5 linked regions of the Callithrix jacchus genome follow. The protein of the gene in region 1 interacts with the protein of each later gene in a biochemical or structural test. Links are inferred from orthologs where the notes say so. Each region holds a gene or a part of one and is shown on either strand. Other genes may lie near its edges.

What was found.
Region 2: the proteins of GNAQ (region 1) and RIC8A form a complex in vitro, tested with the Homo sapiens proteins (2 studies listed by BioGRID). The link is inferred for Callithrix jacchus from reciprocal best matches to the Homo sapiens genes GNAQ and RIC8A.
Region 3: the proteins of GNAQ (region 1) and RGS4 form a complex in vitro, tested with the Homo sapiens proteins (3 studies listed by BioGRID). The link is inferred for Callithrix jacchus from reciprocal best matches to the Homo sapiens genes GNAQ and RGS4.
Region 4: the proteins of GNAQ (region 1) and GRK2 form a complex in vitro, tested with the Homo sapiens proteins (3 studies listed by BioGRID). The link is inferred for Callithrix jacchus from reciprocal best matches to the Homo sapiens genes GNAQ and GRK2.
Region 5: the proteins of GNAQ (region 1) and PLCB1 form a complex in vitro, tested with the Homo sapiens proteins (2 studies listed by BioGRID, with this or other methods). The link is inferred for Callithrix jacchus from reciprocal best matches to the Homo sapiens genes GNAQ and PLCB1.

What each region holds. Positions count from the first base shown.
Region 1 is NC_133502.1:104,908,255-104,915,183, reverse strand, and holds the start of GNAQ (guanine nucleotide-binding protein G(q) subunit alpha), read right to left. Parts: upstream 4,477-6,929; 5' UTR 3,765-4,476; coding exon 3,629-3,764; intron 1-3,628.
Region 2 is NC_133511.1:131,719,519-131,724,496, forward strand, and holds part of RIC8A (chaperone Ric-8A), read right to left. Parts: intron 4,088-4,978; coding exon 3,996-4,087; intron 3,425-3,995; coding exon 3,274-3,424; intron 2,263-3,273; coding exon 2,167-2,262; intron 2,064-2,166; coding exon 1,919-2,063; intron 1,849-1,918; coding exon 1,704-1,848; intron 1,399-1,703; coding exon 1,279-1,398; intron 1,196-1,278; exon of another isoform or gene 1,093-1,195; intron 763-1,092; coding exon of another isoform or gene 642-762; exon of another isoform or gene 505-641; coding exon 357-504; 3' UTR 1-356.
Region 3 is NC_133519.1:38,566,979-38,573,964, forward strand, and holds the start of RGS4 (regulator of G-protein signaling 4), read right to left. Parts: upstream 4,025-6,986; 5' UTR 3,730-4,024; coding exon 3,672-3,729; intron 3,408-3,671; coding exon 3,131-3,407; intron 290-3,130; coding exon 185-289; intron 1-184. UniProt on the Homo sapiens protein: Inhibits signal transduction by increasing the GTPase activity of G protein alpha subunits thereby driving them into their inactive GDP-bound form. Activity on G(z)-alpha is inhibited by phosphorylation of the G-protein.
Region 4 is NC_133511.1:124,365,107-124,371,345, reverse strand, and holds part of GRK2 (beta-adrenergic receptor kinase 1), read right to left. Parts: intron 6,185-6,239; coding exon 6,110-6,184; intron 5,973-6,109; coding exon 5,911-5,972; intron 5,118-5,910; coding exon 5,066-5,117; intron 4,765-5,065; coding exon 4,673-4,764; intron 4,395-4,672; coding exon 4,295-4,394; intron 4,212-4,294; coding exon 4,133-4,211; intron 4,040-4,132; coding exon 3,909-4,039; intron 3,603-3,908; coding exon 3,508-3,602; intron 3,438-3,507; coding exon 3,330-3,437; intron 3,120-3,329; coding exon 3,053-3,119; intron 2,423-3,052; coding exon 2,322-2,422; intron 1,851-2,321; coding exon 1,784-1,850; intron 1,705-1,783; coding exon 1,609-1,704; intron 1,354-1,608; coding exon 1,191-1,353; intron 735-1,190; coding exon 598-734; intron 511-597; coding exon 397-510; intron 297-396; coding exon 132-296; 3' UTR 1-131. UniProt on the Homo sapiens protein: Specifically phosphorylates the agonist-occupied form of the beta-adrenergic and closely related receptors, probably inducing a desensitization of them. Key regulator of LPAR1 signaling.
Region 5 is NC_133506.1:16,074,932-16,080,030, reverse strand, and holds part of PLCB1 (1-phosphatidylinositol 4,5-bisphosphate phosphodiesterase beta-1), read right to left. Parts: intron 2,972-5,099; coding exon 2,744-2,971; 3' UTR 1-2,743.

The sequences.
Region 1 (6,929 bases):
GAATGCACTTATAATAAATTGGCTCAAAGAATTACACACAATTTTTTTAAGATCCTGATTATACCTGCCACAGATAAAAACATTACATATCTCTATATTTCTATAAATGTATTCATTATTGTCTGGTTTAATTTCCAGCAGGGGGGGTCATAAACAAATTCATTTACGCAACCAATATTTATTGAGAGAATTCTATGAGTTAGATATTGTGCTTGAAGCTGGGATTTAATAGTTACCAAAACAGACACAATCCCTATTCTCATATGTTTGCAGTGTACAACAGAAAGAAAATCTATGCTCATATATAAAATTCAGACCATACATTCTTCTATTTAAGACTAGCCTACACTTTGCCTGTTTCAATAGAGAGAATTCAATCAATTAAAGGGGTCTGCTAAATCTTCCTTTTTGATAATTAAGATCTAAAGAGTAAAAGACTTCAAAAACATGTAAACTAAGGACAGGTTAATAGGAAAAAAATGTATCTTCTAGAAACTGCAAAAAATTTCAGGATCACAGTATGTAACTTGAAGCAGGTATTCAGGGCCACTTGTATTACACAGACTTACAGAAAATTATATTAAATGACGGTATCTATGTACCACCAACAGAAATATTTAGTGAATATTCATGAATATTAATCAATTGAAGGAAATATAATGTACTTAACACCTAAAAAATATATAAAAACATCAAGTTAAAATGAAGTATGCTCTTGTATGTCTATGTAGAATATTAAGTTTTGAGTATCAAAATAAGCACTAATATAAATGAATTCAAAGAAAAAGTTAAAAGACAACAAGAAAATAATACAAAATTCAATATAATATTCTTATAGTGGCAGATTTCAGGGTTCGCATTTTTAAAGTTAAAATAAAAATATATAAGCATATGGAGAAAATTCAGAAGACTGGCATAGTTGCCGGATATAAATCAAAATAGGCCAAATTTTACTGCCATACTTTCATCTACTCAGGTCACTACCTGCCTTTTTGAATGTCTCCGTATTATTAATATACCTAAGTAAATAATTATATGAGCAAATGCAAGGGCACCCACTTTTATCCCTGTCAAAAAATTTTCTTCCATTAAAATGGTGTCACACCTTCAAGTAAAATTTACTTTGGAAACAATTTTAGATTTAATTTCATTTCAATACACAGTCATTCCTCCATAAACTGGTTAAAAATATTAGATCTTTAAACTATGAATGGATGCTTCCTATAACCTCCTCTGGATAGGTTTTGTTTAAATGATGGAAGGAACCAGGTCATTAAGTCTACTCATCAAAGCAGCAAATCAGGAATTCCTCAAATGAAATCCCTCCCTAATATCTTCCCCCTTATCGAAATCAACCACCCTGGATTCAAAACTCCTAAAATCACACTCATACACATACACGCACGCACAAATCCACATTTAGTGTATATTACTATACAAATAGTCTAAGTATTGTAGTATTTATGTTGCAAAAGCAACATACCAGGAACACGAAGCAGCAGCAATTCTTGCATTACATTCAGCTAATAAGAAAAAAAGTTCTCCACACTACCACCACTTTAGCAGTAAAATTGGTTTACATTTTTTTCCTCAGAAAATTATCTCCGTGTTCATTTTTAAAAGCACAGTGTTATTTAAATACACAGTATGTAACTGAACATCCATATAAGTGTATTTCCCTTAGACATTCAAACCTAGGCCCTTGACAACCCCCCTGGGCTTTAACTCTTAACTGCTGGGAAACCCAGAGCTGTCACTTTTCAGGCAAACTGGGTTGGCTGGAGAGACCTCAACTGCCCAGTTCACAGTTAAACAGAATCAAAGACTGTCAACAGGGCAACAGAAGAAAAAAAAAATTCTTAAAATAAGTCTCTCTAAAATCCGTGCTTTTCACCTTAACCATGCACTTAAACACTCTATGTATTTCTCTTTTTCGCTCTTTTCTTCTCAATCTTGAGAACTCAGAAAACATTCAACTGACCGTTTTCAGTCATTAGAAGTATCTCAAAAATGAGAATTAAAAAAAAAAAAATCTTTACTTTCCAGCGTCAGTATTCCTCTTCCCCTAAGCCCACCTCTTTCATACAGTGCTTTGCCTTCTGTTTTTTGTAAACATGTGCACATTTATCTAGAGTTTCAAAATGAAGACATAAAGAAAGCATGTCATGTAAATTAACCATTAGTAACTATTGGTGTGATCAGTGTATTTTGTTCTTGCTTGTAAATGGTCCAGTACATAAGCAGTTCATTTCCAAAGGCAATTGGTTCCTTGAGCCAGCAAATGGAATGCTCAAGATAAGAAAGAAAATGCATGCTTCTCAAACATCAACTGACAGCACAATATTCTTTTCTTACAGAAATGTTTGAGAAACATATTTATTATACAATTATACATGCAAATATCCAGAACTCAAGGGCAGTCATTTTTCAAGTCTGTTACTGCAAAGCTCTTTGCTCTTCCTATCCCAATAGCTCAGGGTTCTGTCGCTCTGGTTTGTATGTGAACCTCGATCACTTGATTCTGAACATCCTCTCAGAGATAATAATCAATAAATTCCAATTTGAGAAATGGCATTTTCTTGCTAACTTCGTGTTAAAGCAGAATGATTTTTTTTTTCAAGACTAGAGGGAAATTTTTCCTGTATGCTTACCGTTTTCCTTCTAGCCTAGATTCCAAAGATATTAAACTGCTATCTGTTTTAAACAAAAGGCTTCTATTTGTTGCCATGGGAGTAATTGAGAGGCTACATTGGTTTTCAGCAGTAACTATTGTGAATTCAGGCCTACATCTGGGTTGCCTCATTAAACAAAAGATACCGGTCGCTGTCAACAACCACACAGTACAACGCTCCCCTATCCCTCATCTTTATCTAGAAGGAATGGTGCAGACGAGAAACACGCCTGTCACCATCCACTGGCCAAGAAACTCTTCTAGGCTCCCTCCTTTCGAAGGTTTGGTGGCTAGAGAACAGCTCTTGTGTGACACATTTGGGCTGGCCCTCCCGCCCCGCCCCGCCCCCAATACACAGGCCCTTTCTTTGGAGGGCCAACCACTTGGTTTCCTCGTCATCACTGCTCTGGGAATCCAGTTGCGAGTCTGCCCGCCGTTCCCCCATTCCCTCCTGACCCCAGAGGACACTGATCTTGGATGCACACCAGCCACCCCGGCGCAGGCCATCCCCCAATGTGTCCCGGGCTCGGCTCGCCACCCGCTGGGCCACACACACGGCTCCCCACGCCACCAACCCACGGGAAGCCGCGGTCACGGCACTAGAAATTCAATCCCTCTGCCCACCTTTCCACCCCTGCGCCTCTGGCCAGAGTGATCTGCCATTTAGCAGATGCACAGCAGATAAGGCACAGCCCTCAGGGATACGAAAAGGAACAAGCCGAGGCACCGGGCAGGGCAGCCCGACCCCTCTGCTGCGTGCGTGTGTGTACGCGCCCGCGCACCCGCGCGGGTGAAGGCAGTGGCCGGGGGCGCGCCCGGGAGGGTAGGGGCAAGTCCCGGGCGCCGGGGGGCGGGGGACGCCGAGGGCAGCTGCCCCGCGGGGCCGGGGGTGGTGGGCGGGGGTTCGCAGAGGCCCGGCGGGAGGACCCGCGGCGGTCGGCCCCGGGCGGTACTCACCGAGCAGCAGCAGCTTGAGCTCCCGGCGGGCGTCCCGTTTGTCCCTGCGGAGCTGCCGCTCGATCTCATCGTTGATCCTCCGGGCTTCCTTGGCCTCCTCACTCAGGCAGCACGCCATGATGGACTCCAGAGTCATTCTTCCAAAGTGCCTCCGCTGCAGCCCCACCGGCACCCCCTGCTCACAGCGCGCACACACACCCTCCCGCCCTCGCTCCCCCGAGGCAGCGGTGGCCGCCGAGTCCCCGCCGCCCGGGCGCGCGTCCGGTACGAGCTCCCGGAACCGCCGCGACTGCCGCGGCCAGGGCCGGGGCCACCAGGTGGGCCGGGGGCGCGGCGGGAGCGAACTGCCTGGGCCGACTGGAGAAGCGAGGCGGGCGCGGGAGGCGGGCGCTGGCTCGGGGGGCGAGTGAGGGAAGGCCGCCGCGCCCGGCCTCGCTCAGACGCCCGCGCCTCCTTCCCCGAGAATGGGCGTCCCGCCTCGCCCCCCGCGCCGCCGCCGCCGCCGCCTGCGAGGCTCCCCTACGCCGTGCGCCTGGCGGCGAGAGCTCATCCACCGGGGTGTCCCCGCAGCGAGCGGCCGCCGACGGCTTCCCGCGCCCGGCGCGCCCGCTCCTCGCCGCCGCCTGACACGGCTCCCGGGCGCCCTCGGCCCTGTCCGCGCCCACCGCCCGGCTCGCGCGCAGACCCGGTTCCCGGCCCGCCCGGCAGCCGCGCGCTCCTCCGCCCCCGCCTCCGCCTCCGCCTTCGCCAGACGCCCGCCCCCTGCCCCGATTGCCAGGCGCGGAGCGGCTGCTCAGTGCGCGCCCTCCCCCTCGCCACACACACACATTTTCTTCTTTCTCTGAACTGGAGCACAGATCCGGGAGGGAAGAGGCGGCGGCGAAAGGAGGAGGGGGAGGAGGCGGAGGGGACAGGCGCGGGAGGAGGGGAGCCGGGAGGCGGTGCCGCCCGGCCCCTCCCGGAACGCTTTCCTGGGCTCGCGGCCGCCGCGGCGCGCCTCCCAGTGCGGCTCTCGCCTCGCCCGCGCGGCTACCCGGTTGGGCCGGCCCCCTCGGGCTCTGCTGGTGCCTCCTGCTTTCGCACCCTGGGCAGAGGCCGCGAGCGCAGCGGTCACGGCTGCCCCCAGCCGGGGCCGGGCCGGGTCGCCGCCGCGCGGCCGGAGGCAGCGGCCGCCGCTGCTTGTCAGAGCCGCCGCTTACCTCCGGCTGCCGGCCGGCCGGGCGTGGTAAGGCGGGAATATGGCGGCCTCTGCCTGCCTCAGCCCACCGGCCCGGGAGCGCGGCCGCGGCCCCTGCTGAAGTCGCGGTAGGCGGCCCCGCGGAGTCCCGCACGCGCTCCCCGCGGCGCCGGCGCTGGCGTCCGTCGCTCCAGGGCCCTGCCCGTCTGCTCCGCGGGGACGCTCCTCAGCCGCTTCTATGTTTCCCGTTCCTATTTCTAAAACGCCATTCGGTTAGAAACTCTCGCACATCACCTCTGACCCCGGTGCAGTCTTATAAAATAAGATCCTCTCTACTGTGGGGAGGCGACTGAGGAAGGGAAGGAACTGGCACCGGTGTCCGGAGGCGTAGCGGGGGGGGGGAAATTCACAGGAGAAGCAGTTCACAAAGTAACGGGAGATAGAAATCTAAATCCTGAGCAGAGAAAGGAAGCTGCCCAAGTTTCCAAAAGCCCCCAGATAGGTTCCAGCTTTCCATGCCTTTGTTTTTTCGGTTGTTGGTTTTTTGTTGTATTGGGGCGTTTTGGGAAGTTGTTTTTGATTTTGTTTTACAAGTCTTCTTGTTTCTGACAGGGCACACCATGTTTAGCTGCCAAGTAATCGAATTTACCCTTCTACACTGAATTATGGATGACTTCCGGGAAAATGTAAAATAATGTGGAATAAATGGAAAGAATGAAATAGAATAGAAACTAAGATGACCTCAGCAAAATGGCATTCTATTTTTTTTATTTTGGTTTGCCATATTTGAGGCAGTTAACTGTCGTATGCATATTTCATTGTGATCGTCTACTGATAAATAGCACACGAAAATAATCTTGCTCAATCAGGTTTTATTTGGTTTAATAGCTACAGGAGGTGAAACTCATGTTACTTCCTGCCTTAAAGGAACCTGAGGTCTTCAAAGAAAATGGGCTTTTATGAAGAAAACCACCTTTTCACGTTTCATGTGTTCTCTGCAGTGTCCCTAGTGCAACCTGCTGATCCGGAGTGTAAAGTACAGTTCATGACTTTGCTTTTGCTACAGATCAAGAATTCACATAGGCTTCTTAGACAACAGGTGTGTTAACGTCCTTCTTTCCTTCATTTGCCATTACTCCACCCTTACACACACACGCACACACAATCTAAGCCAGGATTTAAATCAAGCAAGTCGAGATATAAAATGTATATTTTAGGTTCTCTGTTTAAAACCTAGAAAATAATTAAATTTCACCTTGGCCAGGAGAGCAGAGAGGGCAAACCTTGACCCTTTTATGTGAATGCCTACAAAAAGCCACTAGACTTGCTATGAAATTAAAATTTAAAATTAAGTGACTAAAGAAATTAAAGATTGAAATTCAGTGTGCAAAAATAGAAAGTGGCTTCAGAAGAAAAAATTGCATCCTCCTCATATATGTATGTATGTGAGCTTTGAGAGACATAAAACACTAGAAAACCAAATGACAGGAAGCTTCAAGTCTCTGGTTTCCTACCCAAGGATCCTCTGAGACTTTTGAAATGTCTTTTAAAATGGGCCATCCGGCTATCAGGTAATATGTTTTGACTGAATTGACCTATTATTTGATGAATTCACCTGTTTTCAGTGGGCTTTACAGTCAGAGTCTGTTTTTTGCCCCATTTATCCTGCCAACATCAGGAACACTCCCTGGCACTTAGCTACTTGAATGAATACAAGTCAATAGGAGAATGTTTCGAGTATTGGGGAGAAATCAGGAAGTAAGAAAAACCAAGACTCTACAGTGATAAAGCCATATATGGGTGTCAAGAAGGAAACAGGAAAAGAAATTCCAAGTCTGAGCCCAGATCTATCCAAAAACCTTTTCATATTATCTGGAGAGAATTTGCCAAGCAAATATTCCTAGAGACTAAGTCAAACAAATAGAACCCATGCAGAAACTACTGACAGTTGACCATGTTCTGCAAGCACATAATCAAACATGTAACTACGCAGGGATCATGTTACAAAATCCCAGTTCATTCAGTCAACAAACATTATTCATTACCTACTATGTGGAGGTAACAGGTGAAGGTGCAGGATGAGAGAGATACTAAAATGAATAAAATACAGTCCTTACCCTCAGT
Region 2 (4,978 bases), on another chromosome or scaffold:
CTAAGCCAGTGGGAAGGATTGAGATTTAATTGCCAGAACCAGCGAGAACTTGGGCACTGTGGATACTACAGTGGGCAGCTCAACAAGGACCAAGGAGAACACCTGGGAGGCCTCCAGCCCTGCACCCAGTGAAGACAGGACAGAAACCACAGAGCACACCTTGGAGTGTGCGTTCTGACACACTTGTACGTAAAGTTCTGCCAGGTTCTTTCTCCCTGTGAAGTGCAGCACATCCCTCAACACAGCGGCTCTGGCCCGCATGCCAATCTCAGATGTGCTTGCTCTGTGCACACCCACGCCCATCCCCCTGCCCTCCCATATGCACGCTCTTCTGTATGCCCAGGTAGGCCCTGCCCTCAGGCAGCAGCCTCTACACACATTCCTCTTGGCGCAGACAAAAGAAAAGTACTTTGCCTGCAGAATTCAAGGCTGAGCTGTGCGTTCTTGCACAAGACCACTGCAGTCCTGAGATAAACTGAACCAGGGGCAAATCGTGAACAGAACCTGGGGAGTAAAGAGAAAGGGTTTCCAAGATGGAGAGAGGGGTGTGGGCCCAGGGGATGTGGCTTCTCCCAGGTTACAGCCCCAGGGAGTCTCTGGAAGCAGCACCGGTTCTGACGGGAGCAGAAGAGCTGCCATCCTCAGTCAGGGTCTGAGTCAGGGTCCGAGGAGAGCTGCTCCTCCATAGTCTCGCACATGGCGTCCTGCAGGGACGTAAGGTGACCCCGAGGACTCATCCCCATTGGCTGGATGACTCTGTTCCTGTGGGGAAAGGTGCAGTGGGGCTGGGGAAGGGGCCCCGCTGGCCAGGCAAGGGTCCTGCTGACCCCTGGCTGCTACCTTCCTCTCCACCAAGTAGGTAGGCTGCTCCCATTTACTGGGGAAGCCTGATTGGACTTTCTGTTAATTGGGCCCAAATCCTAACTGCTACCTCATGGCTTTAAGTAGATTCTTAATTGAGACATCTAAATTGGCCTTAAACAGTCTCTGAATTTGGACATTGGACCATCTCCAATAAGTCCAGGGACATTAGACAGTCTCTTAAGTTCTCTGGGCCTCAGTTATCATCTGTAAAATGGGCACAATACTGACCTCAATATGCCCATCCCCTGGGGGATTTCCTCCAGGGCAAGTGATGTCAAACGTAAGTAATGCGGCCTTGCCAGGATCCTAAGCTCTCCTCTGACCCTACCTCCTGGGGATCACAAGACAGGATGTGGGTCAGCTCTCCCTTCTCCCAGCTGCAGGCTCCCCCCACCTCCTCCTCATGCTACACACCTGGAGAGCCTGTCAAACATGGTCACCAGCTTCATGGCCTCATGCTCCTTCTGTTCCTCCGTCATGCCCTCCATAGGGTTAGGCGGCTTCTCCTCCACCCTCCCGGTCACCGGGTTTATGCTGCTTCCCATGGGGTAGAGTGTAAGGAATGCATTAGTGACTCTCCAGGACAGGAGGCAAGACACATTTTCCCATGGGGTGAGAGGGGGCAGGGCAAGGCAACTGCAGGAAGAGGCCTCCCTCCAGGAGCAGCAGTTAACCAGCTCCTGCCACCTGCCACCTTCTGGTATCCCAGATAGCACTTAGGAACAGGAGCCTGATTCTGGAAGGTCCTGCCCATGTGTCATCCTGTCCCACCTACCCTACATGGGTCCATATGGGTGTGGCTCTGAGTGGGAACCCCAAGGGTGTGTTGGGGCACATACCTGGCCTTTGCTTCCTTGTACTCATCTGTGTCTGTGTCCTCATCTTCTGAGTACTGGCCCTCGGGCCGGCCTCCCGCCATGAGGCCCCTGGCAGCCAGAAGGCCAGCAGCATTCCCATAGCCCGTGTACTTGATAAATCGGGGCACTGAGGAGCAAGGCAGAGGTCAGTGCAAGCCTGGCTTAGGTGGGGTGGGACCTGGGCCTCCATAACTCACCACTCTCAGAGCACAGGACAAACAAGAACTCGGCAGCCACCCTCTTCACGTCTGTGTCCAGGTGCGTCATGAGGCGGACAAGCTTGTTCCGAAGCATCTCCCCAACCTCGGGCCGTGTCCTCACATCCCGCAGAGGGGGCAGCACCTGGGGAGGCGGCCGTCCCTCAGCTTCGGCTTGGAGCAGCCAAGAGTCTGTGATCAGGGCCCAACCCACATCTCCCAGGAGCGCCAGCTTCTGAGCCTCATACCTGGGCCTTCAGGAACTTCCTGGCTGGGCGGTGCATCCGGGCACACTCAGTCAGCACGTTTAGCACAGGAGCTACGCTCTCTTTCAGCCTGTGTGTCTGTAGAGAAGCCTCTGTCATCAGGCTTATGGCCCTACCTAATTTGAGACTGGCGCAGAGTTACATCCCCAAAACCCCCTGCCCCCGCCCCCAAGACACACCAGCTGGTCCTAGCGGCAGGGGTTTGGGAAGAGACCCCTCTGCAGTTAGTCAGTGGAGGGCCAAGAGTGGGTGCTAGGTATCTGTGTCAGTTTTGAAAGGGGCGGGGATAGAGCCCAACTCAGAAGTTTTGTGACTTGGCTCAAATAACTGCTTCAATTATAAGCCAGGGATGGGAAGAAAACACAAAGCAATTCAAGCTTTGGCACACACATTGACCTCAGATGACGGTGGCAAAAAGAAACGAGAACTGAATCCCTGCTCGGTGTACTTCATGGACAGAAAGCAGGGAGTTCCTGTCCCTCCTAGCATAATGTGCCTGGACCCTAGTATCAGCAGTGGCAGCGACGGGGACAGCTGACCCCAGCTGTGTGCCCAATGCCAGGTCCCTATCCTGACTGGCTCACATGCACCATGTGTGTCCTCTGCTTAGGCAGGTAGATTCCCAAGACGTCTACTGAACCTGCTTTCTGCAAGAGCCTGGAGAATGGTTAGAGCCCAGCTGTCCAGATGCCCCACAGTGCAGTCACAGGAATCAGAGGGAACCTTTGATCAGAGGTTCCTGTGGGTCTCTTCAGGGTGCTGAGGGACAGCCATGCTTATAATCAAGGGCTGCCTGTGTCTAAGAGTTAAAAGCAGGGACTGGGGGAGCTTCTCAGGACCACTCAATAAAAATCCACAAATATTTAAGCAGAAGTGAAACCTTTAAGTGTGTGGAGGGTGTCCACATGCTTCTCATGGAGGAAGGGTCTGGCTTCTTGCCAGGCTGAACCTCAGAACAGCCAAAAGAACTGCCCATATCACATCACCAAGATGATCTCCACTTACCAGTGTGGAAGCACTGACCACAGCTGTGCAGGACAGCCAGCGCCAGAGACACTGGGGGAGCCTGCACAGCCATCCCCAGCCTACCTGGTGCAAACGCTTCTCTAGGAAGATGAGGAGGGCACGAATCACATCCATATTCACTCCCATGAACTCCACGGAGTCTTCGTGTGGCTCCAGGGTGAGGAGAACATCCAGACACTTGAGGGGCAAGTTCCCCAAGAGGTTCACTGCATGGCTGGGGACAGGAGACGGGGGTCTCAATAGAGCTAATCCCTTGGCACAGGTGCAATCTTTGTGCCCCCACTGAACCACACATTACACGAGCTGGCGTCTGAGGACCTAAAGGAGCAACACTAGGGACCAAAAACAAAGGCAGAGACCGATCGTAGAGGCACTGCCACTCAGCTGTACAGTGGGGTCCCCTGGGGAGGTGGGGGCACTCAGACACCCTAACTGCCCCACCCTGTCTGGGCTAAAGTGCCACCATCTCTGGAAACCCAGATCAGCCTAGGGGCAGGTGGCCCAAGAAGGGGGACAAGGGACCAAAATGCCCAGTAAACAGCATGTATCTGTTGCCACTACCCAAGGTCCAGTTGGCACATTCCTGTCCCCAGATTCATGGCTCCTGTCCTGGCCACCTATTGGAAGCACTCAGTATTCTCCGGAAACACTGATGTCCAGTACCATTCACTCAGACAAAGTCAGACCCCCCCCAGGGTGGGGCCTGGGCTCTCAGGCGGTTCTGGTCCACAGGGTTGAGGACCACTAGCTAGACAATGTGGCCATAGAAAAAGCCATGTCCTCACCCGTGGAACTCCTCTGTGCGGTCTCCAGCAGTAGTAATCATCACACAGTGCCGGAGAAGGACCCCCAGGTGCTGGTAAAGGGCAGCATCTTCCTGACCAAAGAAAGAAGGGTTCCTGTGAGGAGCCCCACTCATCCCACTGCTGCCTGCTGAGGCTCTACTGTCTTGCACTCCAAGAATATGTGGCACTGACTGTGCAGCTCCCATACTCCATGCCTGACCCCCTGGGGTCTCCTAAGTGACTTTGGTAGTGCTGGGGGCAAAAGATGACCACCTCTGTCTTCTTAAAAGCACCTCCGCCGAGGCGGGTGGATCACGGGGTCAAGAGATCGAGACCATCCCGGTCAACATGGTGAAACCCTGTCTCTACTAAAAACACAAAAAACATTAGCTGGGCATGGTGGTGCGTGCCTGTAATCCCAGCACTTTGGGAGGCCGAGACGGGTGGATCACGAGGTCAAGAGATCGAGACCATTCTGGTCAACATGGTGAAACCCCGTCTCTACTAAACACACAAAAAACATTAGCTGGGCATGGTGGCGCGTGCCTGTAATCCCAGCACTTTGGGAGGCCGAGACGGGTGGATCACGAGGTCAAGAGATCGAGACCATCCTGGTCAACATGGTGAAACCCCGTCTCTACTAAACACACAAAAAAAATTAGCTGGGCATGGTGGTGCGTGCCTGTAATCCCAGCTACTCGGGAGGCTGAGGCAGGAGAATTGCCTGAACCCAGGAGGTGGAGGTTGTGGTGAGTTGAGATCGCACCATTGCACTCCAGCCTGGGTAATAAGAGCGAAACTCCGTCTCAGAAAAAAAAAAAAAAAATCACCTCCCTGAGTAGAAACACATTCCCTGGGGAGGTCACACAGTGTGTCAGCCCCACTCATGGCCTCATGGTGAAGGATCTCTTACAGTCTCCCCTGACACCACACAGCCCTCCTGCCAGGCAGCAAGAGCCAGAAGGGGATCCCTGAGGTTCCAG
Region 3 (6,986 bases), on another chromosome or scaffold:
TTATTACAAAATATATTGTTGATGAGGGCAGTTTTTCACTAAATGTATAGAAATTTCGAATGTAGTTATACTCTCCATGAAAAGGGGGGCTCTCTTGGTTCAAATCCAGCTTAAGTAGGAGCACAACACATCTATCATCAGATAGTTAATACTCGATAGATCTTCACCAGGCCTTTTCTCTTACCTCTGGCAAATAACCACTTTGTCCTTCTTGCAGTGAGAAGAATTATGTTCACAGGAATCAGATTTCTGCAGCAGGAAACCTAGCCGATGTTTCATATCTTTTGCACTGCACAGAAGAGGAAAAAAAGAATCAATTATGATAACCAACTTTCATTAAGAGATACCTAATGGTAGAGCTTCAAGAGTCCATTACTAGTCTATGGCTCAGAGGCATTTATTTAGGGAATAGGAGTTGGAGGTGGCATGAACTCTGAGGAAAACAAGATTCCGCTTTTGGTTGCCTATGACTTGCTACAAAACCTTGAGGCACAGTCATAACACTAGTTCCTTCATCCACAACTTGAATTCTGACCCTTCAGTTTACCTCAGAAATCTCAGAAGCCTTTGTATGCCGGTCATTTTGACCAACAGAATACCTTTGGTATCTTCAATAGAACCACACTGAAAACATGAGTGATCTCTGAGTAATTTTTAGGAATCAGAAGGCAGCAGCTGCGAAAGATGCACATCCTTGCTGCACGCCACCTTCTGGCAGGTGATTGCCATTTCCATCTGTCTCCCTGCTGGCAGAGAGGGAACTGTAGAAGCACCTCAGGAAAGTAAAAGTCTATTCCGTTCCAGCCCTGTACATGGTGGGCCAAGCAGTCCCTGCTGTGGGGTATGCAGGGAGAATACACTGAGGTGCGCAGCTCCAGCAGAGGGAAATGGAACATGGACGGTGAAAGCAAATGCCCAAGCTGAAACCTGAGCTCCTTGGGGCTTCTTTGTAGACAGTACCTGCTGCTGCTGCTGCTTTCCTATTTAATAGCTACGTTAAAGGACATATACACTATAAAGGGCATTTGGGGCTTAAAAACTATAGGGAGAAGGAGGCTAGAGACATCACTGAGCTTCTAGTTTATTGCGGCCGTTTTAATAGGTAGCCAGGGCACAACAGGGCTCCGGACTAACTAGAAAAACGGGGTCCTTTAATAAGCCTTAAACTCAACTCTCTTACTTTTTCTTAACTATCCTCTTGCTTGCATCTCTTTTATTTTAAAAGCCAAGAAATAATTTTAAAAGAGAAATACCATTCTTTAAAAAATGAATAACTAAATGTTCCTATTTGGAGCAAGAAAAATAAAGCCACAGAGATATAAAGACATTTAGGATGACTACTAATACATTAGTGGCTTATGTGTGTAGGTTTTCCCAGAAATTCTGAATTCCATTATGTTCGCTGACTGCCTCTTAAATAGTATTTTCTCTTCCTCCCAAGACTACTTTCCCTCCTCTGCCTCCCTGACTGATGACTGGTCAGGGGATATACTATCCTTTTTGATGATAGTGAGATATAATCCTGAATGTTAGGGTAATTCCGAGGTGATAATATAAGTATATCATGAAGTCCAAATAGAAATGAATTCATATTTCCATGTGCTGGATCCACCTGAGATCTGAGAGCTATTGATCAATGCAGGGGCTAAGTGTGCTTAGCAAGTATTCTTATAATAAAACCATAAAAATAAAAACCAAAATGACTTCAGAAGTTATTGGAGCCAGGAAATCTAGATTTGGCCCTAACTCACCCACCATCTATGTGACCTTGAGTAGGAGATGGCTCCTCTGGAGCCTCAGGCACTGGTGGTAAAGATGTTGCACTAGACCATTTGGAGTTTACTGGTGAGGAAAGGGAAGAGCAGCTCATCTGGCTAACACAGGGTTTACCTCCTTAGATTAGCTGCTTAACTCTTCAAGGGCAGAGCTCTAGTACTACCTTTCTTTATCTGCCTTGCAAAATATTTACCAGAGCATAACTTCTCCTGACCCTCTTGTATTTTTGAATGGTTCATTTTATATGTAAGTTAACTGAAGCTTGAAGTGATTTGCCCCCCTCCATTCAGAAAATTAATCATGAAGGTCAGAGGCACTTATTTCATACTCTCTGCCAGACCCTCCTGCTTCATTTTAAAGAAGCCATTGACACTTCCACACTCATGAATGACACAATATTTGAAAAGTAAATGTTTGAATAGTACATAAAACATTATGTTTTCTGAAATTATTTCCAAAATAAAAGTTGTGGTAATTTCTATTTGCAGGGTGATAAGAAAGCAGGTATATACCTCTAGAATGACTTTTTACCTTTATCTGCAAGATTAAGTAATGGAATATGCACTCATTTTGTGTTTCATTTTCAAGTGGCTAATATACGATCATTCTCTGAATGCATTTGTTTATGCTTTTAAAAGCATAAACAAATGCATAACTGTATGCCTGTAAGGTGTTTTAAAAACATTAAGAGAGCATACTAACAAAACAATGTCTTTAAGGTGAGATCTTCTACAAAACTGTTAACTGATTTGTAATGATCAGTACTTCTCAACCACACTCATCTAAGATACTTTAAGAACTAGAGATAGAGCAGAGAGATACGGAAGATCTCATTGTAACATTTGATTATAAGAACATAGAGAGTGAAAGATACTGAGCACCACACAGAAAGCATAATGCCTTTCCGATAATGCAGCCAAACCTCATTATGGGGTACTTTCCCTCAAACAAGATGTAGCGTACAATCAGAAAGCCCAGAGCCAGGCTTCTATATACTCCGGGGATGCTCAAATAACAGTAGGAATCACAGATGGAGATATTACAGACCACTATCCATAGCCTCAAACCTTATCTCACTTCTTAATTAAAACTAGCTTGCTTAGACCTGGCTTAAAGAACAGAACGGTTACCAAAATTGAGGTCATAAAACAACACGTAAGGACTGAAATTTGGGGAGCACATGTCTTAAGTCACAGTATCTAGCTTGTCTTGGAGGAAGAAAGTTAGGAAGTCATTGCTCTCCTGACCACATTGTTTCTAACTGCACAGAACTAGGTTAGTAAGTACAACATGTAAATGACTGAGAAAGTCTATCCAAAAGTTCAGCATGGTTAATGGCTGAAAGCAATCTTACCTCCTCAAGCAAGAAGCCGGCAGACCTGCAAGCCCTTTGCACATCTTATTTAACAGCTTGGGATTTGCAAGCAGAAAAGAAATGCGGCAGGAGGAGCTGTGGCTTCGGCTTTGAGCGTACTTTGCCTCTTCTCCGGCAAAGATACTGTCAGAATTCTCTGAGCGTCTTTCTCCCAAGCCTGTAGGGGTCTCTTTTATAGCCCAGCTACGACCATCCAGCCAATCAGACGACAGCTCTGCAGTACCAGCTCCTCTGTCTCCCTCTGCCTCTCCAGCCCCTGAAAGAGACGAGGAAGAAAAGATTGACGCATCAGCAATGCTAAGCGAACGAGCAGAGAAAATCCTTCTGCAAAGTAGGCAGACAGAAAAAAATGTACTCAACGTCTCTATGAATGTCAAAGGTTTAGAATTTCTAGAAAAGGAAAAAAAGCGTACAATGCTGCAAAATATAGTATTTATTCATATATCTATTAAAAAAAAAAACAATATCAAGGAAAGTTACCTCCTGAAGGAAAAGTACCAGCAAAAATTCTGGAGCTTACTTAGGAGTTGACTCCCAATGTCCTTCCTCTTTTGGATTAGAAGCATCATATTATACATGGTCCAAGGTCTGATCTTCACGGTTTCCAAAAGGGAGTTGGTAGGATCATCGTCTCCATGCAGCGATTTGCAGAAGTTGCCTTGGTTGTTATGCAAACAGGAAGGTGGAGAGCAATAGCTGGATGACAGACAGTTATAAGCCCGGCAGCAAAGAGAAACTAGCCTAGGAAAAATAGATTCGCGCTATCTGTAATCAACCCGACTGCGGAATACTTTTCTAGAAATCTTGGTAACAACAGAATTCAGCCTAGCACTGACAGTTTCTCCTTTACATGCCTGCATCCTATAAAAGTCTAAAACAGCAGCTCGAGGACCAAAGGAGGGAGTAGATGAGCAAATACACACACCAATTCTTATTGGCAAATGGGTTTATGTCTTATGTAACTCTAAGTCTCCAAACTGCTATCTCAAAAGATAAAGAGGGATGTACAGAGAGAGAGAGAGAGCAGGCAGAAAAATATGTAGTTTGCCTTATATATCACCGGCCTTCAAACTAATCATATCAAGTCCTATGGGTGCTTCTGAACACCTGGACAATTAGTATCTTTTACGTACAATATCATGGACTGAAACGACTGCGTGGACAAAAACATTCAGGCATTTCACATCTTATGGCCAGATATCAAATACCTACACCAGAGTTACAGAGGGATCTTTTTCATGGAGGAAAGCTATACGTGGAAGGGGGGAATGAATTGCTAAGTCTGACCAGAACAGCTTTCATTTTGAAAGCAGATAGGTTCCTAATCATAGGCTACCATGAGCTGTTCTTTATTTATAAGAAACAGAGGCATCAAATGGTTTAGGTGGAAGAGGTGAAAATAGTTGGGTTCCAGTGAAATGCAAAATACCAAAAATATGGAAAGAATGGCACAAAGCAATGCCCATACGTGGCCCTACCTAGTACATGCCCTTGAACATCCTACGCTGCCCCCAGTACCACCTCCTTCCATGACTAGCAGAGCAAGAAGACAGCAGACAAATATAAAATGGTGGAGGGACCATAATCCACAGAAGATGCATTTAAATTATAGGAAAAAGTCTCTAGCTGCCCATAAAGATAGAAAGACGTTTTATCAGATTAGCTACTGGGCAACTTTTCCTTGAATTATAACAGAACAAATGAAAGTTGACAGCCATCCCTGATGGTGGTATGGAAGGAACTGCAGTACAATGTGAAATCAGGGAGGTCATCAGACCAAGGAAGACGAACCAGGGAGAAGAACCAGTCAGAACTGACATCAAAGAGGACAGATTAATTAAAAGGGAAAGAAGGTCACTCAAAGAAGAACCATGACCTTCTTTGTTTACCTACGCACCTAAGAGAGTGATCACTCAAATAGATTGATTTTGGGAACATAAGCGAGGACCCAAGAAGATTTACTGATGTCTGAAATTCTACAATGAGAACTTTATGTCTTGGACTTAGAATAAGAGAAGCCTGATTTGTCACGAGTTAAATATAAATCACTGCAATAGATGGGACTTTAAAGGCAATCTAGCCTAACATCCTCATTTCACCAAAAAGGAAATAGAGACCCAGAAAGAGAAAGTGACTTGCTGAGGTTACAGCTTCTTACTAACGGAGCTGGGTCCAGATCTAGGTGTCTCTATACTCAGTTATGTGAGTTGTCCGCTGTGCTATCCTGTAACTCAACAGTCTGATCAAATGAGATAAACTGTATAAATAGAGATATTTCCAAACTATAAAAAATAATTTTTCCTCATTCTATTATACACAGTAGAGAATAGAATCCAATGTTAATCTTACATCTTTTATTCAAGGACTGCTCACTTGCCCAATCTGTTCTTGCTCCGTGAAAGCGGGAGTTGCAGCATACCTCACTGTGCTAGTTCCCTATTAGAACCAGGTCTTCTAACCTGCTTAACTCATTACTCTGTTCAGGCATTTCATATTTACTCACTTCTTTGGCTATTAAACCTTGCTTTCTTAGGAGTTTAAAACTTTAAAAAAAGTGTTTGTAAAACGCTTCACATGAGTTAACTTATTCTTTCACTGTGGGACTTGCAGATTGTGTTTGAGGAGGCGAGGGCTGGTACATCATGATACCTTGACAACCTTCCACCTTCTTTCTCTGATATGCACAAAGCAACGAATTCTGTTATTCTATGATTTGTCAATCCTGGGTGACTCTGGTAGTATAGAAGGGCTTTACTCTCAAAAGATCTACTTGTTATTTATTCATTTGTTTAAGAATGAATAAATAAAATTCATTGGTTTACGAAATATCTTTTGACACCTACTCTGTATCAGGTACTGTTTGAAGAACTGTATTTAGCATGGTGAACAAGCAGGCAAAATCTCCGCCCTAGTAGAGTTTTCATCCCAGTAGGAGGAGTCAGAAAATGAACAAATCAGATGATTCCAGATTTTGACCTGTACCATGAATAAAATGGGCAGGTGATGTGCTAGAGGGCGATCAGATGGTGAAGGACTAATTTAGCCAAGGTGGTCAGGAAAGGCCTCTTTAAAGAGGGGGCATCTAAAATAAGATTCGATGAGTGAGAAGCAGAAAGCAATGCAAGAAGCCCAGGAATGAGTATTCCAAACAGAAGTAAGAGCGAGTGCGAGTGCACTTTACCTAAATTGAGAAAGAACACAGCCATAAAAAGAAATGAAATCGTGCCTTTTGCAGCAACCTAGATGGAACTAGGGCCATTATCTCCAGTGAAACAAGTCAGACACAGAAGGACAAATACTGCATGTCGTCACATATAAGTAGGACCTAAATAATGTGTACACATGGATGTAGAGTGTGGAATGATAGACAATGGAGGCTCAGAAGGATGAGAGGGCAAGAAATCAGTGGATAGTGAGAAATTACTTAAGGGGTACAATGTACCTCATTCAGGTGATGGATACCCTAAAAGCCCTGACTTCACCACTATACAGTCTATGCATGTAAAAAGAATATTTCACTTACAACCTATAAATATACACAACATTTTAAAATTTTAAAAAAATTGCGGAAGAAGAGGAGGGAGCCAGCATAGCTAGGGAATTGAGAACATGATGGAAGTAGCATAAAAAGAGATGGAAACGTAGACGACAGATCCTGCAAAGATTTGTAGGCTGTTGTCAAGAGGCTGGACTTTATCAAAGTGCAGTGGAAATCTACGAAAGAAACAGAAGCAGAGGAAGGGCATGATCTGATCATTCTGACTCTTTTGAAAGAATGATTGAGATGAGTGGGCAGAGTATCAAAGCAGGGAGACCAGTTAGCAGAGTTAGCAAC
Region 4 (6,239 bases), on another chromosome or scaffold:
GAGGCTGGGCCAGGCTGGGGCCACAGGAAATCACAATAATTATAAAATAAAACCTTTTCCGCTTGGCGGGAAAACAAATAATAAAAATTCAACAAAATAAATTAGAGGTTTATAAAAGGCAGGCAGGCGGGTCAGAGGCCGTTGGCACTGCCACGCTGGACCAGCGGCACCTTGCTCAGCTCCACCACGGGCGAGCGCGGCTTGTTCTTCATCTTGGGCACCCGCTGTACCAGCTGCTGGGCCTCGCGGTAGGCGTCGCGCAGCTCCTTCTTCCACTGCACCAGCTCAGGGTCGCTCTGCACACACCAAGCCCAGCTGTCAGCTGGGGATCTCCCGAGCCTGCCCAGCCTGGCCCGGCCCCTCGGCCACCCCACCCCTGTCCCAGACCCCACTCACATCGCACTGCAACACGAACTGCTTCCCACCGCGGATCTTGAGGAGCAGGCACTTGCGCTCCTTGATCTGCGTCTCCTCCACCGACTGGATCTCCTCCATGGTCAGCAGGCTCTGCTGCAGGGCCAGGGATGGTGGTGCGGGTAAGGGCCGGCCCACCAGCCACCCGGAAGCCCGGCTCCCGACCCCGCACGGGCTCCTTACCGGGGCCTCGCCCTCACCCCGCCACTCAAGGCGGTTGGGGAACAGGTAGAAGTATCGCCGCTGCCACTGGGTCAGGAAGGGATTGCCCATCTTGGACATGTAGCCATGCATGATGCAGTCCTTGCCCAGGGCGTAGTCTGAGGTGAGAGACAGAGGAGGCTCAGCCGGCCCAGCCTAGGTTGCTTTTTGTTGTTTTGAGACAGGGTCTCCACTCTGTCGCCCAGGCAGCGGCGCAATCTTGGCTCACTGCAACCTCCACCTCCCGGGTTCAAGCGATCCTCCCGCCTCAGCCTCCCGGGTAGCTGGGAGTACAGGCGCGTGCCACCGTGCCCGGGTAATTTTTTGGTAGACACAGGGTTTCATCATGTTGGCCAGGCTGGTCTCGAACTCCTGACCTCAAGTGATCTACGGTCCTCAGCCTCCCGAAGTGCTGGGATTATAGGCGTGAACCATCATGCCTGGCTCTGGCCTGGGTTTCCATCCCAAAGTGGCCACTTTCTGGCTGTGATCCAGGGTGAGTTCCTTAAACCCAAGCCAACTGCTCACTCCTAAGCAGGTGGGGGCCTGGTGCCACAGCAGCGGGTGATCCTCACCTTCCTCGTGGCCCAGCTGCTTGTTCTTGGCTTTCTTGCGGGCCTCCAGCCGGTCTGTCTCAGCATTGATGGTGTCAAAGACGGTCTCTGCCACCTCTTGCTGCCACCGCTCCGAGATGGTGAGGGGGAAGTTGCGGTAGAGCTCCTGGTCACTGTCCAGTAACTACCAGGTGGACAGGACAGAGGCACGTGGATAGACAGATGCCGGAATACCCTCAGTCACAGGCTGCCCAGACCCAAGGCCCTGGGTAGGGATGATCAGGGCAAGTGCTACCCCCAGGGAAGTTGGCTGTGGAGGAGCTGAGGCTCACGAGCTGGCAGGCCTGGCACAGGGAATCACAGGTGGCAAGAAGGACAGGGATCCACCCCCAGGCCACGATCAGAGCCCAGGTGCAAGAGGCCAGGCAAGGCCCAGTACCTTGATTCCTTTTGTGTCCTCCTCATCGAAGGAGCCAATGTCGAAGGCATCGGCTGCATTCACCTCCCCTCGTGGGGGGATCAGCGGGGGAGGGTACTGCAGCAGAACAGGGGTCACGGGCATTAGTTTAGGGGTGGGGGTGCGGAGCCCCCAAGCCCCTGCTACAGACTGTTACCTTCTGCAAGAAGACCATCTGCCAGTCCAGGGAGCGGAAGAAGGGGCTCTCCTTCACCTCCTGAGCCCTGTGGGGAGGGGCCGGTCATCCGGGCTCAGCACCTCCCCCCAGCCCTGGGCTTCACTCCTGGTTGAGCCACTTTCTGGCTGTGTGAAGTTGGGTAAGTTCCTTAAGCCTGAGCTGCTTCCTCATCTCTCAAATGGGAGAACAGCAGTTCCTACGTCACAGGCTTCTGAGTTTAAGCACTGGTACATTTTACAACCCTGTGCCTAATGCTTAATAAATGTTCACAATAAACACAAAAAGCTGCCATCATCGTCGTCTGTGACAAGAGTCCCTCTGGAAGCCAGTTACCAGCAGCTGCAACCTCCAGGGCAGCCCCTGCACCCTGAGAACATTGGACAGAGCTGGCCATGCCCCAACTTGTGAGCTCCTCCAAGGAGGCTGGGACCTTGGACGGGGCTCCAGGTGACTGGACATAGCCCTTATCCTCAGGGGGTCACAGCCAGCAGCATGCCTAAGGTGCCAGGGCACTCACCCTCGGCCCAGGCAGCCCAGTCTCCGGTTGACATCCCTCTGCAGCAACCCCTCCAGCAGGGAGCGGAGTTCAGGGGAGAAGGAGTCGGGCAGCTCCACGGCCTTTGGAGAGGAGTGGGACATAGGCAGGGGCTGAGGAAGAGCACTTGACCCCATCCCAGCTCAGGGGAGAGAGGGGCCCAGGCCCACAGAGAGACAGGGCGCAGCTTCCTAGCTTGCCCGGCAGTCATGCTCCAACAGCATAGCGAGGGCAAGAGCCTATGGGGCAGGAGGTCTGTCTCAGAGGCCAGAGTAGGGGCAGTGGCCGAGATCTCTACCTGCTGGTCGGAACCAACAGTCACAACTCTGACACTCACGAGAGCCCCCAGCCCCACTGTGGCCTGCACCGAGACCTGCACCCACCACTGTCAACGTCACCCACAGGAGCCCCTGGCCCCCCCAGCAGCCCCACGCTGAGACCCACATCCACCATGATTAGTGTTAGGAGCTCCCATCCCCCCCATGGCACTGAGACTCACATCCACCACTGTGTCACCCACAGGAGCCCCCAGCCCTCCGGGGCCCCGAACTGAGACCTGCACCCACCACTGTCAACATCACCCACAGGAGACCCCAGCCCCATAGGATCTCCCGCCACACTGTGGCCCCGAGCTGAGATCTGTACCCACTGTTGCCAGCATCACCCACAGGAGACCCCCGCCCCCCAAGGCCCACGCTGACACCCGCACCTACCATTGTCAGCGTCATGCGGTCGATCTCATGCTTGTCTTTGGTCTTGTGCTGCCGGAAGGGGCTATGTCTGGGCAAGAGGGGCCAAAAACCAAAGTCAAAGGAAAGGAATGGGGAAATGGAGGCAGGCAGCGTGAATGAGCTGTGGGCAGTCAGGGATGGTGCCACCCCTAATACCAAGGCAGCTAGCTATGGGCTCCCTTCCTCTGGCTTCCCACCTGGACTGGGGAGGAACTTCTCTCCACCCGACCCAACTGCCCAGCTGGGACAGGCCACTCACCCCCGCAGCAACTTGAAGAGCATGCAGCCCAGAGAGAACCAGTCAGCGCTGCTGTCGTAGGCCACGCCCTTCTGCAGGACCTCCGGAGCCATGTACCCGTGGGTGCCCCTGTGGGAGCAAGGGGGCCGTGAGCAGGAGTATTGAGGGGTGAGGAGGGGGAGGGTGGCAGGGCACTCACACGCTGGCATGGGGCTTCTTCTTAGAGAAGTCGCAGGCCAGGCCCAGGTCTGAGATCCGCACGTGGCCATGCTCGTCCAGAAGGATGTTGGCCGGCTGTGAAGGAAGCCCAGTGAGCTGCCCGGGACGGCTCGGGATGGGGCCCAGCCAGGCAAGATGCCAGCTGGGTCACTGCTTCACTGGAGACGACAATGGGTCCCCAAGGAAACGGCAAAGATGGGGTCCTCTCTCCTGTCCCCAGTCATAACCTGGACCCAGAGAGTGGGAAGGACAGGGGCGGAGATGGGAAGACACAGGGCAGTCGTGTCCCAGGAGCCCCACTCCTCTAGGCCTGGTGGCCAGGATGCCGAGAGGGAGAGAACAGCCACAGAGGCGCGGCCTGGGGCCAGCAGGGGCATGTACCTTCAGGTCTCGGTAGACCACGAAGCGGCTGTGCATGTGTTCCAGGCCCAGGATGATCTCAGCCGCATAGAAGCGCATGTCAGCCTCGGAGAAGACCCCGTGCTGGGACAGGTGGTAGTGCAGGTCCCCACCTGAGGGAGGCAGCCCCATAGGCGGCACTCAGCATCTTGCCCCAGCCTCCTGCGCTTAGGTCCAGCCCACCCTGGGGCTCGGCCAGCACTCACCGTTCATGAGGTCCAGGATGAAGCTGAGCTTGTCTGGCGTGTGGAATGCATACGACATGCAGACGATGAATGGGCAGTCCTAGGAGGGGAGGGGAGGGGAGAGGTCAGCAGGGGCAATGGGGGTTCCAGAGCCTCAGCAGCGGCCCAGCCTGCCCAGCTCACCCCAGTGCTGACGAGTGAGAGCATGATACGCTCGTTCAGGGCCAGGGTCTCCCCCTGCTTCATCTTGATGCGCTTTTTGTCCAGGCACTTCATGGCATACCTACGAGGCAGACAGAGGGCGGCAGTCAACACCCACCCTTGACACAGGGGCCCAGGACTGCCTCTGGGGGTGCTTGAGGGGAAGACTAGACCCAGGACCAGCCTGTGACACAAATCAGAGATAGGGAGGGCTGGGGCCAGAGAAGCCTGCAGGAGGGTAATAGCAAGGCAAGACAGGGGTGGGTGGGGCAGCACGTGGCCCTGTGCGGAACCCAGTCGTCAGGGCCTCCCAGGATCCCTGCTCTCCCAGCATCCCCCTACGCCAAGCAGGGTGCTTACATCTTGCCTGTGTCGGCCTTCCGGCACCCATAGACCTCGCCGAAGCCCCCACGCCCAATGATGCGATGCACGCTGAAGTCATTCATGGTCAGCTGCAGGGCAGCGACAGCTGCGATCACCACAGGCTGCCTGGGCCCAGCCGTGGGGCAGAGGCACCTGGGCAGCAGGGGCTGGCCCCATGCCAGGTCCCTATACCTGTGTCCTGGCTGTCCTTGCCACACACTTACCTGCTCCAGCCTCCCCATGCCGGCATCCCAGCCCTGACCCCCATAGCCATGGCACTAGGGGCTGACACCCCCTGATCTCCCCACTCTCAGCCAAGTCCCAGGCCCGGCTCCCGGGAGGGGAGTAGCAGGGTGCGCAGCTTTCCACGCCCCACCCAGCCCCACTCACGTGGATGTTGAGCTCCACATTCTTCCACTGGCAAAACCGTGTGAACTTATCGCTGGAAGAGAAGAACCTGGACTCAGGGGCCACTCAGGGTGTGGGAAGGACGATGCTGTCGTGAGCCTGCCCCACCTATCGGCCATTCCCCGGGGTCCCATCAGGGTAGATGTGGAAACATCAGGAGCTTTAATGTCCTCTTCCAGGAATGAAATGTTGGGGGCCTGCCCACCCACAGTGCCAGCCAGTGCTGCTTGGGTGCCCGGCACGGGCCTCGGCCACCTGGCTATGGTTTCCTGCTGGAATCAGATCAGCATAGAGAGGAGGTCTTCCAGTCTAACCCAGACTTCCTGCTCCCATCCCTGCTAGCATACCTCTAGTGACACAGAGCTCACTCCATGGCTGGGCAGCAGTGACACTAAAAAAGCCACTCCCTAAAGCTAGCCAAAATCTGCCTACAATTCTCACCCACTGTGTCAACTCTGGCTGTGAGGGCCATGGGGGCCATGTGCTCTCCTGCACCCACCCCTACTGACCCTGATGCTTCTCAGCCCAGGTGGGCCAGCAAAGTGCTATATAGCCCTCGGGAGAGGAAGAGCCACAGGTGGTGTGGCTCTCCTAGCTCCCAGAGAACAGCCTGAGACGGGCTGTGAGCTGCCTGGTACTGAGGAGGGCAGAGTGAAAGAGGATGACCTGCAGCCTGTCTGACCTCTCAGGAGTCCTAGCAAGGGGGCCACTGACGGACCAGACACCTGCCAGCTCAGGGCCTAATGAAGGCTGGCTTCTACCCTCCACACCAGCCACATAAGCAACCCCTTCCTCGCCCTTCCTTTTCCACACCACCCCGCGCTCACCTCTCGATGAATTTCTGGAACACGTCCCCTCGGAGGTTCTGACAAATCTCTTCGATGTATGGCTAAGGGAGGAAACTGGAAGTTTGTGACTGAGCCCCTAGAGACCATGGCTGCCCAGGCCCCACCCCCAGCTAACTAGGCTCTTTGACCCGGGCTGTCCAAGGTGACCTCGCCTGGGTGGGGACTGGGAGGCACATACCTGGAAGAGATCCGGAGGCACCTGCTTCTTTCCCAGGTGGCCCTGGACATGCTCAGTGGCACTCTTTGAGAAGGGCTGAGGAAGACAGAAGTGGCCATGAATTCTTCGCAGGGTGCTCTCTTCCCCTCCC
Region 5 (5,099 bases), on another chromosome or scaffold:
TATTTAATGACTGCTTATCTACTACAGGAGTATTAATTAATGTATGGTGATACTGAAATTTTAAAATGAAATGTAAAAAACCAAAAACACATGGCATGTCATTAGAACTTTGAAAATTGGTTTACATGGCCAAAACCATGCTAGTCTCAGTAGTGTAAAGGTATCAGAGAGACACAGTCTAATTTAATATACAGCTCTACTCTCTATTATAGGGAAAACCACAGTACAGAATTTCACACATTCAACAAAGAACAAGGCAAATACATAAAGGCACAAAACTGCACATCATATAGACCCCTTTTCTTTATCTTAGTCTATTTCAAGTAATATTAATATTATTAAATGATAGTATCACTGTAGTAGTTTCAATGATGCAAGATGGAAAGTGTTACTCACTACCCCACAACTGCAAAAAGTGTCATTGTACAGATATAAAAATGTGGTTACAGTAAATGGTCAAATACAAACATATTGTAAAATGACTAAATTCACTAAGATAATGAAATCCAACTACCAAAACAGTTTTGTGTAAGTCAAGGTTATTCAACCTTAGTCTATCTCTGGACTAAAATGTGATACAATGTTCTGTGATAATCACCATTGTGTTTGGTTATGAATGCTATTGTTAGTTCATTCTTCTGCAAGTTCAGACAGTCTGTAATTTTGTTTATAAAAATGCAGCATTCGATTTTGACCATTCTTGCTTCTTTATGATTAATGACTTTCTTTCAAAGTGCAAAAGTAGAACGATTTACAAAAGACTTCTTTTTCAGTGGAAGTTAAGTTTTATTAAGTGTCTAATTAACACCCCAAACCCTTCAGATCAAAATATCATCATTTCCAAAAAGGATGCGATTTTCCACTTATATCTTACTAGATTTTTTTTTAAATTAAACACTGTTTTCTTATGTTTGAACTAAGCCTTCATTTTGATTAAAATTTAATTGTGATCTCTAGTTATTGCTTAAAGTTAAACAAAATAATTTTCATAAAAATATTAAATTCTTGAAACAGTTTTCAGGACACAACTGGTTTTTGCATTTTAAGGTATTTCATTAAGCTACAATCAGACAGGTTTACTTTAAAGCAAAATAAAGCTGTGAGCCTCTGGCTTCTGGGCTTCGAATTCCATGTTCATTGTGTTACTCTCTAAGTTGCATTTTTCTATATATTATTATTCTTTCTTTTCTCAGAACTTTCAATTATGCTTTTGATCAGTTTTGCCTTTTGACATAACTTGTTTCTCTTATGCCACCTAAAATAGGAACTTACAGAGAGACAGGTAAGTGAGTTAAATGTACTTAAGTAAATATATAATGAAAGTTTTTAATGTTAGAATAAAATAGAAATGTGTCAGTCTTAAAAATTATGGAAGATTCTAATCAATGTCCATATTTCTGTACTAATTTTTTGACCATTAAAACAAGCTTAAAATCTGATACTTAACACCTAATTTTTGATCTTGCAAAATATAAATTGAATTCATATTCTAAGTTCTAAATCTATATCAGTTTGCATCAATGGCTTCATCAACTATTTCTTAGCATCTCCATATAACTTAACATCCATGTAATCTAGATGTTTGGCCCTTTTCTTCTCTATCCATTTATCCCTGAATTTGGTTTTAAGTCTTGTGGAAGAGATCTGGGTCATTGTCAATTAATAAGCACATATCTACACTCATGTGTGTGTATGTGTATATGTACTTACAAGACTAAGTGGGTACATATATACATGGAGATAATACCTATCATTTACATGTGGGTCTTTGTAGTCTCTAGATAAATATTCAATCTTCCTCTCTATGTTAAAAATAAATGAACCATAAGAAATGTCGAACAGCAAAATAACCACTGGAACCTGTTCACTCTGATTGAATATCTGGTTAACATATATCAGCTCAACTATTTTTATTCAACAGAACATTTGTAGTTATTTGATCATTTCAGGCTAACAACCAATGAATACCCAGACTTTGAGTGCAAATAGTCAATTCAGACAGCACACTGGCTGGAAATGTGTGGCCCACTTGCTCATGCAGCCAAATGTACAATCCATATTGCTAAGTCTTGGGATGGCTTCACTGGATAAGGATACAATCAAGTGATTTTTTTTTCCAAATAAAAAACAAACTTATTTGAATCATTACAGTATCTAATAAAACCATGTCAGCAACAAATACATTGATGGCTCTATGATAAATAAATTAGCAAAATGCAAGCCACCAGTGCTTGCAAAGCAAAAGATGAAATAATGTAATATGCATGTTGACTTGAAGATAATGGTAGTTGAGGGGCAGTTTAAAAAATGCTCAAAGCCAGCTGTTCAATAGTGTTAAATAATGCTATGCATTTCTCAAACTATTTCTATGACTTTGAAATACTTTACACCAGAGCTTTGAATAAAAACATGAGCTCGATTTTCTTCAAAGAAGACACCGTCCTTCATTAATAGTTCCATGGAGCCTGCAAGTTGCTTGCTTTGAATTTACTACCGGAAAGAAAACAAAAATCTCACATACATGCATTCTTCACTAGTAGACCTGCAGAGGTTTCCAAGTGACACATGGAGCCTGGGCATGGGACTTCTGCAATGGATTCCTCTGGAACTCTCCCTTTGGTGTGGATTTTAGGCTAAGGGATGCTTCTTGGGAAGATGGTCCTGGGCAGTGATTTTTGTAATAAGAGAGAGTCTGATGACACTGGAGTGGCCATGCAAATTTCTGAAGGCCTGGCAGGAGCATTCACAGAGGAGTATCAAATTCTTTTCCTGGGATGTCTCCTCCCAGCTCCTCACTGGAGGGAGTCTTGTGGTTCACTTTTCCAGGGTCTGAGGACAGGGAGGGAGGGGCAGAACCGTGATTGCTGTCTTCATTGATCTTCCCTTTCATGGCTTCCTGCACGAATTCCAAAATCTCAAGTGGCAGTCTTTTGAATTTGTCTTGGTATTCTTGCTCCAGCTCCACCTGCAGCTGGGAGACATCAAGTAAGGAGATGACTTGAAGTTGTTTATGTTTCTATACCCACCCCCATAGAAACTCTCCGAAAGAGATGTACAAAGGGGGCGATGAATACATGAAGTTAAAATATCATTCACTGGTCATCTATAGAGGAGATGTAACAAAGTTTAGCTGGACACATCATTTGTCTGTAGCTGAAAGTCAAGTTCAAGTTATGTGTGGCACAATAAGGCTAAAGACTTGGAATAAGATGAATGTATCTACAAATGCCCACGTGCGCGTGCACATGCACACACACACACACACACACACACGTGGGTCTTTTGAAAAACGGTGTCAGAGGCAGGGCATGGTGGCTCACACCTGTAATCCCAGCACTTTGGAAGGGAGAGGCAGGTGGATTGCTTGAGGTCAGGAGTTCGAGACCAGCCTGGCCAACATGGTGAAACCCCGTCTCTACTTAATGGAAAAATTAGCTGGGCATGGTGGCAGGCATTTGCAATTCCAGCTGCTCAGGAGGCTGAGGCAGGAGAATCCCTTGAATCCAGGAGGCAGGGGTTGCAGTGAGCCGAGATCGCACCACTGCACCTCAGTCTGGGTGACAGAGTGAGACTCTGTCTAAAAAAAAAAAAAAAAAAAAAGAAAAGAAAAGATAAAAAGTAAAAGAGAAAAAGGTGTCAGAACTAATATTAAATGATCTGAAATTTTTACATTTAGGGGTTGAGAACCATTGATGGGTGAGCGTGTCAAGGTCAGCCATGAACCTGGCTAGGGGAAGCTAACTAAGAAGCAGAGGAGACAGACAAGTGTGGCGTGGGCTTTGGGATGTGCAGCTTCAGTCTTATTTTGACTTCTTTCACCACCTCTTTATTTTGATTCATTTTTCATTCTAATTTTTATTTGCCTTGTAAACTATTTTAGCTACCCTTTAAACTGTCTTTTAATGTGTCTATTTTATGCCCTGGAGAATTTTCAGACGGTTTAAAGTCCTTGGAACTCTTTCTTTAAATGGAGACTTACATGGATGTCTCATTTATAAAATAGTACAAAGCCTGCCATTCTCTGGTAGATGGGGAGAGAAGGTGGGCAGCAGGGAGAGTTGTCTGCTAGGGAGCTGCACTGTGCTGAGCCCAAGCAAAAACCTTGAATTTTAAATAAATTCTCTCTGCTTATCAATTGGTACCCAGGGAGCATAATCCTTGAAACCCCATGCAAGGCTAAATGCTTGCCCCCACACACCCTTATTAGCTTTGAGGCAACTTTTGAGATACGGCCTTAAAATCTGGATTTTTTTTCCTCCTGCTTTTCAAACTTTAAGGTGCACACAAATCACCTGGAATTTTGACCTTGATTCCGTCTGACTCAGGAGGCCAGTTTGGGGCCCGAGCTCCTGCATTTCTCAGCAGCTCTTGGGGGATGCCAAGGTGGTTGATCTGCTTTGGCCACTCTGATAGCTCCCTGTCTGGGTTCTACCCTCAGACCCCAGTTCTACTTTTTGTCTTGATCCTGGCTGTGCATCCTGCATCTTTCAGGGCAAATTCTGGGGCTCGGTCTGTTTCTGGAACGCCAGGGTGAAGCCGGTCCCCAGGGCATCTGTCTTTCTGAGTCTTAACCTCTTTCCGGACAGTGTCAGCAGCTTCCTCTTTAGTTCAACTCCTTTCACTCTTGCTTCTGTGCCAGATAAATTTTGACAATACTAAATTATTTAATTTATATTAAGTAAAACCTTATCTATCCCAAAGTTTTGAAATCCAGAAGTTTTCTTTTTTCTTGCAACTCTGTGTAAACTCATTGACGCGAACTGATGTTTGGATGATAATGATACATGAAATATGTATAATTTCATATATCCCCATCATATGACTATTTGTGCACTAAACTGCAGACATATTCATTTGCTTGACTTTGAGGATGACTCAGGTCTCCCTGGAGTATTGTGCTCATGGCATATGCATCGCATTGCCTTTCTAAAATCAGAAAATGTAAGAATTCTGAAGAACAATGGGCCCCAAGAATCTCAGATAATGGATTATGGATCTAGTTCAAATGACTTATGTTTTTTTTTCATCAAAAGGTGTGTGACATGCACTTGTATATTATTCACAATAGCAAAGACATGAAATCAACCTAAGTGCCCATC